2 linked regions of the Drosophila melanogaster genome follow. The protein of the gene in region 1 purifies or fractionates together with the protein of each later gene. This does not show direct contact. Each region holds a gene or a part of one and is shown on either strand. Other genes may lie near its edges. The genes, in order: Aldh and Gale.

Region 1 (6,698 bases):
TTAAATGCGCTTCCATATTTGATTAATAAGATTAATAAGATTAATATTTCCCTCATTTATATTGTGAAATCAAAACAATGTTCTGAGTACATTTCCCTCTGGCCAGTTCAATTTCATTTCCCGGGAAGCACAAATATTACGTGTGTTAATTATATTCCCACCTCTGCTCTACACACCGAGTATCATACTACCACACACAAGCCAAACTTAATTTACGTAATCATCCATAAAATTGTGCAAGCGCAAGGAGCGACATCGACTCCCACCAGGCGTAATTAAATTCAATTGAAAGTAATTTCCAACAAATTGTTGTAAATTTCATTTTCGCATTTATAACCCACATATGTATGTACATATACTACATGGTACTGCGTCCAGCAATCAGCCATCAATGATGGCATTTAAGTGCGTGCGCCTGAGCCGAGCTGTCCGAATGCAATTTATTTTTTACGCCAAACTGTTTACTCTCGGTTATTAAATATTTCATGCAGCTGAGGACAGCAACCGCAGCGACAGCAGAATCATCAATAACCGGCACCGCCGCATAACAATTGCCATTAAAGTTTATTCGGGCGGTTTCGGCGTTGGTAATTGGGCCCTTCGGTGGGAAAATCGAGGGGAATGGAGCCGGAATCGACCAAATGTTTACTCAGCCTCCATTTCAGTTGCATGTGCTTTTCGGACGGAAGGGTGAGACGCATTGTATTGAATTAGTTTTCCGACTGTGATTGCTTTCGTTCGCCAGTTTTGGCCAACGATGCGTATGCGTGATTCTCTTGACAGCCGTCGCTAAGCTTTCAATTTACGAGTGAAATAAATTTCGAAAGATTTTGACAAATTGGCCTAAATCGCATTTAATGAATTATGTTGAAATAAATTTCGTCCTCTTTTCGCTCATCATCAATTTTGTGCTAGTAATATGGCTGACAGCCGAAAAGTATGCCATAGCCATTTTTATTATGCGAATGCTCGTGCAAGGGGATGAAAACGTTGAGAAGCAAGCGAAATAATGAAGAGAGACAGCAACATAATAAAAATCAAAGTAATGTTCAATAATAGACGAACGATTTCGGACATTTCACTAATGCATTACTTTAATTCAATAACTTTTGGGCAAATAAATTAGCGCAATTCTTTGTATTGTACCAAAATAAATAATAATACCTTATTTATTATTACTATACAAGTCTTGCTAGTTAACAGTAAACCATCTGGCGCATTCTGTTCCACAAGTTATATAATATAATTGTGAATACAAATTCTAAAGCTCATTGATTGATTGGCCTGATAACTGTTTAGATGTTACAATATCATTTGGTTTTAAATTCATTTCCTCCCATCGTGAAATTATAAAAAATAGCTAGTCATTCTAAACGAAAAACACAAAGTTCTGGAATATTTTTCTTTTAAGCGAAATCGTATGATAATTTATACCGTGGAGGTTTGCCAAATAAGCTACAAAAGCAATCTATAGTTTCATAAATTACTAAAGAGTATCTTAACGAGATAAACAATATTATAATAACCCCACCCGGCATAATGAAATCTCCACATGCAAATGCAATTTTATTCAAGTACTTTTCGTACTTAGTACTTAGTTATTGCGTTTAAGACTCTTTGTTATTGATTTCCTTCTCTTTCTGGTTTCCCTATTGAAGAGATTATCTATCTATCTCGCTCTGACTTTATCAGCACTTATCAGTGTTGGCAATGAGCTTTTAACTACTTTATGCCTATCTACTTTTTCTCTTAAAACCATCCCATACTAATAACTACATAATACCTCAATCATATACTTATTATGATTTTGCTCCACCTAATTAATTATATAAAACAAGGTATACTATGTGGAAATTCTTTTAAGTTATAAAGCCAGCTGTGTGTATCAGTTCAAACCGTTAGGTCACAAAAATTTTATTTATTTTAATTTAAAAAAAAAATTATTAAATTTTCGGTCTAAATTGTGTTATTGTTCTTTATATGGCTCCTAACAGTTAAAAATCTTATAGATAAGGGCGACCATATGTAGCTATTTTTGGCTATGTTCTTCTGACAGCACTTGTGGCGTGGCGCGAGTTCCCCTCTAGACACTTAAATATTCCTAAGTAGTTTTCGCGAGCGGCAAAGCTACGAAATCGTTTCAGTTGTCCGTCGACCGCTGAACAATTAAGACGCAGTTCTAGTTTTGCGCTCTCAGTACTTTTCTCTAGTTTTTCTATCCGGAAAAGTATAAAAAATAATCTATTCAAAATGCTGCGCGTTTTGAAGACCGGTGCCCTGCTGCGTTCCCAGGCCAAGAACTTCGCAGCAGCTGTTGCGAACTACTCCTCCCTCCCGCAGCCACAGACAACGCCCGATATCCTCTACACCGGGGTAAGTCCTAATCCTAACTCAAATCCAAAAAAAAAAAAAAATAAAAAGTGAAAAGCATTATAAATAAATTGCGGCATTTGTAGCAATCGCACTTGCAATCTGAGTAAAGAACTCAACAGGAAAGCAAGCATTTGACTTGTTTTTGAGCTGACCTTGAGGCGAGCAACTACAGCTGTTATCGCCCTAGAGCCCCTCCTCAAATACCCTACATATGCGAATCCAGTTTTTAGGTTCTCCGGTGTAGGTCTTCCCCATTTCGATTTTAACGAAAAGAAATTGGCAAATCAGCGCAACGCAAGCGAGTCTCACCGCATTCAGATCACGTACACCAAATGTTTATCGGCAGATGTAGGGGATTGTAGGGGATTAGGCTGCTTAAGCGAATCGAAAGACCGGCGACTAAAATAAATATACAAAGGCGATATCGAAAAAGCAAAAACAACAATCGCATATGTAGTTCGCCGGCTATTGTTGTTGTTATTTCTGCTTCAGCTTCTCATTGTTTGCCATACCCGGTTTCTTTGTTACGTCAGCAGTGGCGCTCGCACACGCAAAACAAAAATTTGTTTGCCGCAAATTCTCATCATTTATTCTTCTCATCGCCTCGCGCTTTCATTTCTTCTCTAGGGAAATTTGCATAAATTTAACCATTGTCATTTTTTATCTTTAGTGTCACCAATTAAAACTAGCGTTCGTTCGATTTAATTGAAAAGGAATTGCGGTTAGGAAGCGAGCCAAATGTGGTTTTTGTCCAGATGTTAAATGGGATCCAATGAAATTAGAGCAGTTCGTATATAGTAAACATTTTTGCAGAAAAAACTTGAAAATCCAATGTGCACGGTTTTTATTTGTCTATATATATTTCAGAATTTTTAAAGAAACTCCTAGCTTACATCGCTCTTAAACTGTCTTTAAATAATTGTTAGTGTTCTATGTTTTCCAAAAACAAGGAAGTTCTTAAAAATTTGTATATAATAAATATTTTTGCAAATGAACTTGATTTTCAAATATGCATGTCTTGCATACCAATATATTTTTGTTTTTAAGTCTAAAAATGAAATCTTGCATACCTCTTAAATTGGCTTAGAATAGCAAATAACATATATATAGACCATATATGTACATATATGCTGAACCCTAAAGCAAAATATTTCAATTTTACAAGAATTGAGCATTCGTCTATTTTGAGTGAACTGCATATTATGCAACCTTTATAGTACTTATACATATGCCATAATCTGAGAATCTGCTTTCATAACAAGAAATATCAGCCCATAATGTCTCGCGCACCACAAACGTTCTAATCTCTTGATTTATCTTATTGTATTTGTGTTTGTTGGCATAGGCAGTTTCCACTTCTTATCACCGGCAGCCCTATTATTTTGGGGGTCTTTACTGGGCGAGATAACATGGCACACTTATAAGATTGGCTTCCCTAATCGAACCAGTATTAGACTCGTCTAGCCAGACCCCCGAAAACTAATGCACACGTGCGTCGTCGCTATGTTTATATTTTGCTATGTCTGGCGGAAAGTTTTATATTCGCAAGCACATTGTGAAATTCAAAAGTAGATGTATGCAAAAATAAAAACAAAAAGAAATAAAAATGTTCTATAAAATAGGATGACGTGAGGGGTTGGACGCGAGGGCTCACTTCGTTTCAATTTTAATCAGTTAGCCGGTAAACGTTTTAGATTACCCAGACTGGGGGATTGTCAGATTCAGGTAGCCATGCGAACGAAACAATCAGTCAATTGCGATAGAGGAATAACACGCACGGCAGGCAATAATAACAAATAACAGCAGTCAAGGGCTTATCATATAGAGGAGTGGCTTGTTTGTCAATCCAACAAAACGATGTAAAATACAAATGAATTCAATAGAAGAGATTGTGAATATGATATGGCACTAATTGAAGCTGTTAACTACTTATTGCAGGTATTTATCAACAACGAGTGGCACAAGAGCAAGTCGGGCAAAATATTTGAAACCATCAACCCGACCACAGCGGAAGTCATTGCCGAAATTCAGTGTGCTGATAAGGAAGATATCGATATTGCCGTCCAGGCTGCACGCAATGCATTCAAGTGAGTGTGCAATTTGGATATAAATCGACTTTGCTTATTAATAACAACTCTATGATCACTAGGTTGGGATCTCCATGGCGTCGCATGGATGCCTCGGAGCGGGGTCGCCTGCTCTACCGCCTGGCTGATCTCATGGAACGCGATCAGGTCTATCTTGCCGTAAGTATCAAGAAATATTTTAATAATTCAAGGTCTTTAGTTGGAAGTTTAAAATATTAATATAGTTTATATATACTTATATGCTTATCAAAATTTAATTTTCCGACAGAGTCTGGAGACCCTTGACAACGGCAAGCCCTACAGCATGTCCTACAACGTGGATCTCCCGACTGCCATCAAGAACCTGCGCTACTTTGCTGGATGGGCGGACAAGAACCATGGCAAGACTATTCCCATGGACGGAGATTTCTTCACTTACACCCGCCATGAACCCGTGGGCGTGTGCGGCCAGATCATTCCCTGGAACTTCCCCATCCTGATGATGGCCTGGAAACTGGGTCCCGCTTTGGCTACCGGCAACACCATTGTACTAAAGCCCGCTGAGCAGACCAGTTTGACTGCTCTGTACATTGCCCAGTTGGTGAAGGAGGCTGGCTTCCCCGAAGGTGTGGTCAATGTGGTTCCCGGATTTGGAACTGCTGGCGCTGCCTTGGCGAACCACTGCGATGTGGATAAGGTGGCCTTCACCGGTTCCACCGATGTGGGCAAACTTATCCAACTAGCATCGGGAAATACTAACCTAAAGAGAGTGACACTGGAGTTGGGAGGCAAGTCGCCAAACATTATTCTGTCTGACACCGATATGGACTACGCCGTCGAGACGGCTCACTTTGGTCTGTTCTTTAACATGGGCCAGTGCTGCTGTGCAGGATCTCGTACTTTCGTGGAGGACAAGATCTACGATGAGTTTGTCGAGCGCAGCGCGGAGCGGGCTAAGAAGCGCACCGTGGGCAATCCCTTTGATCTGAACACTGAGCAAGGTCCTCAGGTGAACGAGGAGCAGATGGAAAAGATCCTTGGAATGATCAAAACAGGCAAGAAACAGGGCGCTAAGTTGGTTGCCGGTGGCAGTCGCCCAGAGGGCCTACCCGGCTACTTCGTCCAGCCCACGGTGTTCGCCGATGTCCAGGATGATATGACCATTGCAAGGGAGGAGATCTTTGGACCGGTTCAGCAGCTGATCCGCTTCAAGAAGCTGGATGAGGTCATCGAGCGGGCTAACAACTCCGAGTACGGATTGGCCGCCGCCGTTTTCACCAAGGATCTGGACAAGGCCAACTACATTGTGGGTGGCCTGCGTGCCGGAACTGTGTGGGTAAACACCTACAATGTCCTCGCTGCCCAGGCTCCGTTCGGTGGCTACAAGATGTCCGGCCATGGACGCGAGAACGGAGAGTATGCTCTGTCCAACTACACGGAGGTCAAGAGCGTCATCGTCAAGGTTGCCCAGAAGAACTCCTAAGAAGGACCAGATATTTCCTCCAAGAGGGACGCTTAATATGGTTCGCCCTACTTAGGTGCTCTAAATTCCGGCGATAATCTACATCTCTATAATGAACATAGTTTTAAATACATCTGTTTGATATACCTAACTACGGCCAGTTTTTGTATTTTTTCCATTCGGTTAGTTTTCTTTAAGTGTACATTTCTATCTAGTACATATGTAATGCAGCTATAAATCAGTGCAGGGACCTGGTCAAACAATTCAAAAGTTGTTTTATTTACGTTCTATCTTACTCCCCTTTGCCCTACAGAGTTTTATGTGTAATTCCAATGTTTGCCAATAGATTCTTGGCTTTGTTTATAGCACACTCTGAACTGAATGTCATTATTTTGCTTATCCCACAACACTGAGATAGGACAAACAAGCACACAGATACTTCCTCACAGCTTACACTGCACGAAACATTGATTGGTTTAGCATAGAGCCAAAAGCAAATGGATAAAGTGAGCAACCAGCACACGGAGCTCAGGGAACTAGCTTGCTCGTCCATCTAGGAGAAATAAGCTTACATTTATTTGCATTTATTGGCATTTTCCATCGTTTTGTTTTAGCCTCGAATGCCTGAGTGTGTGTGTTTGAATCTGTGTGTGGATTTCTGTGGCACTAAGACTCACATATCAGGACGTACTCAAACTTACACAGACACATCGGGTCGTTTTTCATCCAACATCATGGCATACAAAAAAAAATTGGAAAAAGTTTTCCATTAGATTGGACAGCAGCTGAGCGTGTCA
Region 2 (5,545 bases), on another chromosome or scaffold:
CATAAGCTTAAGTAAAGGTGGGCAGAAAAGTTCAGAAGAGTGGTCCAATTTTTTCGAATTTTTTGAGTCAAAGTAACAAATTTAATAAATGTAATAAATTTATGTATGTAGTCTCGACTTCGGATCGCGCATAGAAAAGTGCGTTTTGAATTTAATTTTCCATATCTTCAATTTAGGAATTGAAAACTTTTAGACGGGCCATGCGGGTTCTGCCAGAAAACGTCACGAAATATGTATAAATTGCTTAATTTGTGATAAGCATTTATGGTGGCCCGGGCGATCCCAGTTTCCAAGTCGGTCTCCGTTGGGCCATGTGAAAAGTGCACCACTTTCACTATTTCCCTACTTCATTTTCCCATTGCCGATCCGAGATCAAATTAAAGTGCCAGAGTCGGTGCTTATCTGGGGTGGTCTCTTTTGAGGGAACGCAGAACATACATAGATGATTATCGGGCACAAACAATAATGCGGAAAATTGGTTTTATTAAGATGGATAACCGAAATTTACAATAAGTGTAAGCAAGGAAATTCTATTCGTTTGGCATTCTATTCGTGGAGTGGAAAGTGTTTGAAATAAAAGATCACATACTAATAAACATATAAGTACAGTAAGTAAACAAGAAGACGGACATAGCTAACGGGCCGGGCCAGACCCCCCGAAAACCTTAGCCCCAGCAATAACAGCAATCCAACTCTCGGACCGAACTGATAATTCCCCCATATGTGCAGGCGGGATTGGATTGGGAGCTCGCTTCTATACATATATATATATATATATTTATGTATGTAGACTAGACCGCAGCACATTATGTACAAATACGTAGCTTTAGGATCGACCACTTCCACTTGGAGACTTGTCCGTTCTGTCTTTCTCTTTCCAATTCTGTTTCAGTTCAGTTTCTGTGGCTGCGACTCTGACTGTGCAAATTATTGTCGCTCACATAAAAAAATATTGCAGGCCAGCGCCATTCAGAGGCGAGCAATGCCGGAAGTTCAACTAACTCATTTCCGGTTGTCAGTATGTACATATGTGTGCCGCCCGAGAATCTCAAAATATATGTAGATGTACGTATGTATGTAGTACATGCGGTGTGCGGTAAGCATGGTCTTGCGGTATATGTATGTACTGCGTCTTCCTTATCGAGTGAGCTTTCCCGCATTCGAGAATCGATTCGTTTCCAGATGATTATGTAGATTATTATGCCGAAGCAGTATTTTACGGTTTGTTCTAATTTTGGGACTCTTATGCCGCAATTTTTTTTAGCGATAAATTGAAATGGAATTCGGAAACCATAATCAGAAAAACGATTTATTGACTGAGATAGAACTATTCAAACAAATAACGATTATCGACACTCCAAAAACCATAAGATAAAGCCGGTCAAATGCCAATCTAGGTTAAAGCTCCGAAGCTTTCGACCCATTCATGCATTCCATTCATTCAGAACCGAAAGCAGGCGCATTTCATTGAGAGACTCGTCGCTGCGCAAATACATTCTCAATTAAGTTGTAAACATTGTGAGATCTTTTTCATTGCGTATTGAGCACATGCACTTCCGCTTATCATTAAAGATTTGAACCGAATTTGGGTCACCAAAAAGCTGTCCGAACTGCGGTTCTAGTTATTTATGACGATGTAGTTGTACGCATTGTACTGAAGTTTGTTGTTATCAAACGTTTGCTTTTCGAGTTTAAAATTAATTTTGAATCTGCTCCGTTTATCAGTCAAGTAAAATGTCAACTTATCTACATGTAAATTTTACAGAAGCACATGGCAGTGATGCCAGATCATATAAGATTATTATCTTGGGGATAGAATGCGTTACAAAATTACATTGCATTATGAATTTGGCGTTATTCTCTTATCATATGTTTAATTAATTACGATTTGTGATTTTATACGCTTTATAATGAAAACTATTTTTTTACCACCCCTATTCGCGTCTCCAGAATGTTTTCACATTTAAACACCGATATGGGCGCACTTCTTGTTTTAAGTTGTTCATATCGATAGACAGCCAAGAAATTTATCGAGACGAATCCCACTGTGCCAGGTAGCTGAAAAATCGGCGAATATGGCAGCGTCGAACGAGCCATGTCGCGTGGCAACGCTACCACTTTGTTTACTTTTATTCGGAGAGCGAAGTGAAGAGCACCTGGAAATTGCATTAATGGGCATGGAATCGGGAGCCAAAGGTCAGCGGCGATAAGGATGCACTTCGAGGTGACCCCGGCCGTCCGTCGACCAAGTCAGCCTGCTGCTAGCACTTGAATTAAAGTGACAGGAGAGCTCCGAGCCCACCAAACCACCGAAACTGATAAGAAGTGCGCGTTCGGAGAACGGAGAACAAGTTAAATAGGCTCCGTGGAGAGCCACCAGTTCAGTTGGCCAGCGACCGCAGATCAAAACAGACGTACGACAACACAGATGAATGAGGAAGAGTGCAAGAAACGGGTTAGCACACGATAGCACTCAACGGTCAGCGATCTTTGGCATCTTCATCTACACCATCATCTGCAATCTCGTCGGAGATCAGAGGCGTTGTTTTTAGGCATCGGAATCCGAGGCGGAATCGTTTCAAGGGCACGTCTCTTGCGTCTAGCTAAACTCAATCTGATTCACTGAGCGGGGATTCTCTACCATAATCACCTGTAAACAGGTGAGTTACCCGTTTTTCGCCAAGCAGACGGCTATTTCGCACGCCTGCCGAACGATTTTGGTGACGTCAATAAGAACTGGGCACTCGTGTGGCCTAATTTCGTGTGTTTTCCCCTTTCGCCACTTAGGATGGCCCCACCCACGGTCCTGGTCACCGGAGGAGCCGGCTACATTGGCTCCCACACGGTTCTGGAGATGCTCAATGCGGGCTACAACGTCATCTGCGTGGACAACCTGTGCAACGCCTACAGCAGCGGGGCCAAACTGCCGGAGGCCCTCAGCCGGGTGCAGGAAATCACCGGCAAGAAGGTCAACTTCTATAGAGTGGACATCACGGACAGGGAGCAGGTGCGCTCCGTCTTCCAGGAGGTGAGCACACGTAGCATTACATAGCTGGCACGTCAGCAGTTCGGAGGTTCTGGGGCAAATGTGCCAACTGGATACCATTCAATCAAGCTTATCTGGCATGCGCGCTATCAGCTTTTTTCTCGTTCGCGCTTGTTTTGTTGTTTGCTCAAGTGGCGGGGCACTTCCGACGAACCGCCGTGCTGATCGACCCTGAATGAAAGACCCACTTGGCGAGGTCGCATTCGAGTTGGTGCGCTGGCATCCACATCCACAACAGCTCCCGGGCACGTACACTACAATCTGGGTGGTCGGGAGCCCAGATTGCAGTGTTTACATCCATTGATAACCAAGAGAATTCGCTAATTCGAGCAGGTTATCACGCATTCTTGAGATGTTCGATCAAAGGGGTTTTTTTTGTTAACCACCGTCGTTTATAAAAAACAAAGCGTTTATTTACATGTAATGAACATTATAAAAATGCACGTTGTTGCCCAAATAGCCATGAAATATCTTAAGCTGATACTTTTTCATATTTTTATTCAACCATAAATGCACACAGCTTTGTGCTTACGCGCACTGATTACTGAATAGATTGAGCAGTATTTGTTGTGGTGGAATTTTTTACCTAATCAGCACTATCAACAGCTATTTAAAGAACACATAATTGTTTGTCAATAAATCACCTTGAAATCAATGTGATACTTTCATTTAATTGCTATTAAATTCTGCACTTTACGTTTATAAGAGGCAATATCCTTGTGCTTACTGAAGAGCTGGTTATTACAGATTTGGATTTCCCAAACTAATAGGTACATATATTTACATCCCTTTCAGCACAAAATCGACATGGTGGCCCACTTTGCCGCCCTGAAGGCCGTGGGTGAGTCCTGCCGCATACCTTTGCAGTACTACCACAACAACATGACCGGCACCAATGTCCTGCTGGAGGCGATGGCCGACAACAATGTCTTCAAGTTCGTGTACAGCTCCAGCGCCACCGTATACGGTGAGCCAAAGTTCCTGCCCGTGACCGAGGAGCATCCCACGGGCAACTGTACATCGCCCTACGGCAAGACTAAATATTTCACCGAGGAGATTCTCAAGGATCTGTGCAAGTCTGACAAGGTAGGAGGATGTCATTTCTTGATGTCCATAAGTTCTGTACTAAAGAATTCGCTCTTTCAGCGTTGGGCAGTGGTTTCGCTGCGGTACTTCAACCCGGTGGGTGCCCACATCAGTGGTCGGATTGGCGAGGATCCGAACGGCGAGCCCAACAACCTGATGCCCTACATCGCACAGGTGGCCGTGGGTCGACGTCCCAGCCTGAGTGTCTACGGCAGCGACTTTCCCACGCACGACGGCACCGGCGTGCGCGATTACATCCACATCGTGGACCTGGCCGAGGGACACGTAAAGGCGTTGGACAAGCTGCGCAACATCGCGGAGACGGGCTTTTTCGCCTACAATTTGGGCACCGGCGTGGGCTACTCGGTGCTGGACATGGTGAAGGCGTTTGAGAAGGCCTCCGGCAAGAAGGTCAACTACACTCTGGTGGACCGACGGTCCGGAGATGTGGCCACTTGCTATGCGGACGCCACGTTGGCGGATAAGAAGCTGGGCTGGAAGGCCGAGCGTGGCATCGACAAGATGTGCGAGGACACGTGGCGCTGGCAGAGCCAGAACCCAAACGGGTATGCCAACAAGTAGAGCTGTATATCGCCACGTTCCTGCCGCTCCGCAAGTTCCTGAGTTACTACGCCTGATAATGGCTCAGGTAGCAATTTCTATTTGCCTCTAGTTGTGTATATTTCTTTCCAAATTTCGTGTAGTATTCGCTCACTTCGATGTGTGCAAGTGTGCGTATGTAATCCAAAGTACTTTGTAATTAAAAAGGCTTTTCGCTGTTGTCATGTAATTTTGTGACCGTCATTTACGCGTTTGGTGACCGCTGGCATCATTGACGCGTGCCAATTGGCGCAATCACGTAATTAAGGTCACCGACAAGGTGGCACTGGGAGATTACACTTGGCATTAGGTAAAATAAACACACAACTGCATCAACCATTTGTCAGATCTTAATCAAAAATGGCATAATCACATTAAGCTGACCAAAGTTACAAGAAGACGTCTAACTCGCACATTTATTTAGCAAACATTTATTCAAATGCAATATAACATTAAAAACTCAATTTTAAACTTAAGTGATGCGCCTTCTTCGCACATATCTGCACAGTTAAAGTCATTTATCACAAGTATGTACTATGAATGTATGTTTCTTTCAACAACTCTGCGTTCGGCTGCTGCTTCTGTTTGGTTTTGGAATGGTCTGCACGTATAAAAGTACAAAATTGTTTATATTCGAGCCTGTTGTTTCTGGGAGTGTTTGTTTGTATCGGTATTTGGCAATCTGTTTTACACTTAGGAGCTTGGCGATTCGTTCAACAAGTGATGGAGAGGCAAAGAAATCGAATTCAACAAGAAGCATTACTAGGTGCTACATTTACGTCTGGCTACATGTGTGTGCGATATGCATACGTA

What was found.
Region 2: the proteins of Aldh (region 1) and Gale purify together in Drosophila melanogaster (affinity purification with mass spectrometry, with the first as the bait; one large-scale study listed by BioGRID). This does not show direct contact.

What each region holds. Positions count from the first base shown.
Region 1 is NT_033779.5:9,385,518-9,392,215, forward strand, and holds Aldh (aldehyde dehydrogenase), read left to right. Parts: upstream 1-1,871; 5' UTR 1,872-2,250; coding exon 2,251-2,373; intron 2,374-4,311; coding exon 4,312-4,460; intron 4,461-4,522; coding exon 4,523-4,619; intron 4,620-4,728; coding exon 4,729-5,922; 3' UTR 5,923-6,050; downstream 6,051-6,698.
Region 2 is NT_037436.4:646,392-651,936, forward strand, and holds Gale (UDP-galactose 4'-epimerase), read left to right. Parts: upstream 1-2,163; 5' UTR 2,164-2,660; intron 2,661-2,787; 5' UTR 2,788-2,788; coding exon 2,789-3,028; intron 3,029-3,841; coding exon 3,842-4,132; intron 4,133-4,192; coding exon 4,193-4,714; 3' UTR 4,715-4,920; downstream 4,921-5,545. UniProt on the Drosophila melanogaster protein: Catalyzes two distinct but analogous reactions: the reversible epimerization of UDP-glucose to UDP-galactose and the reversible epimerization of UDP-N-acetylglucosamine to UDP-N-acetylgalactosamine.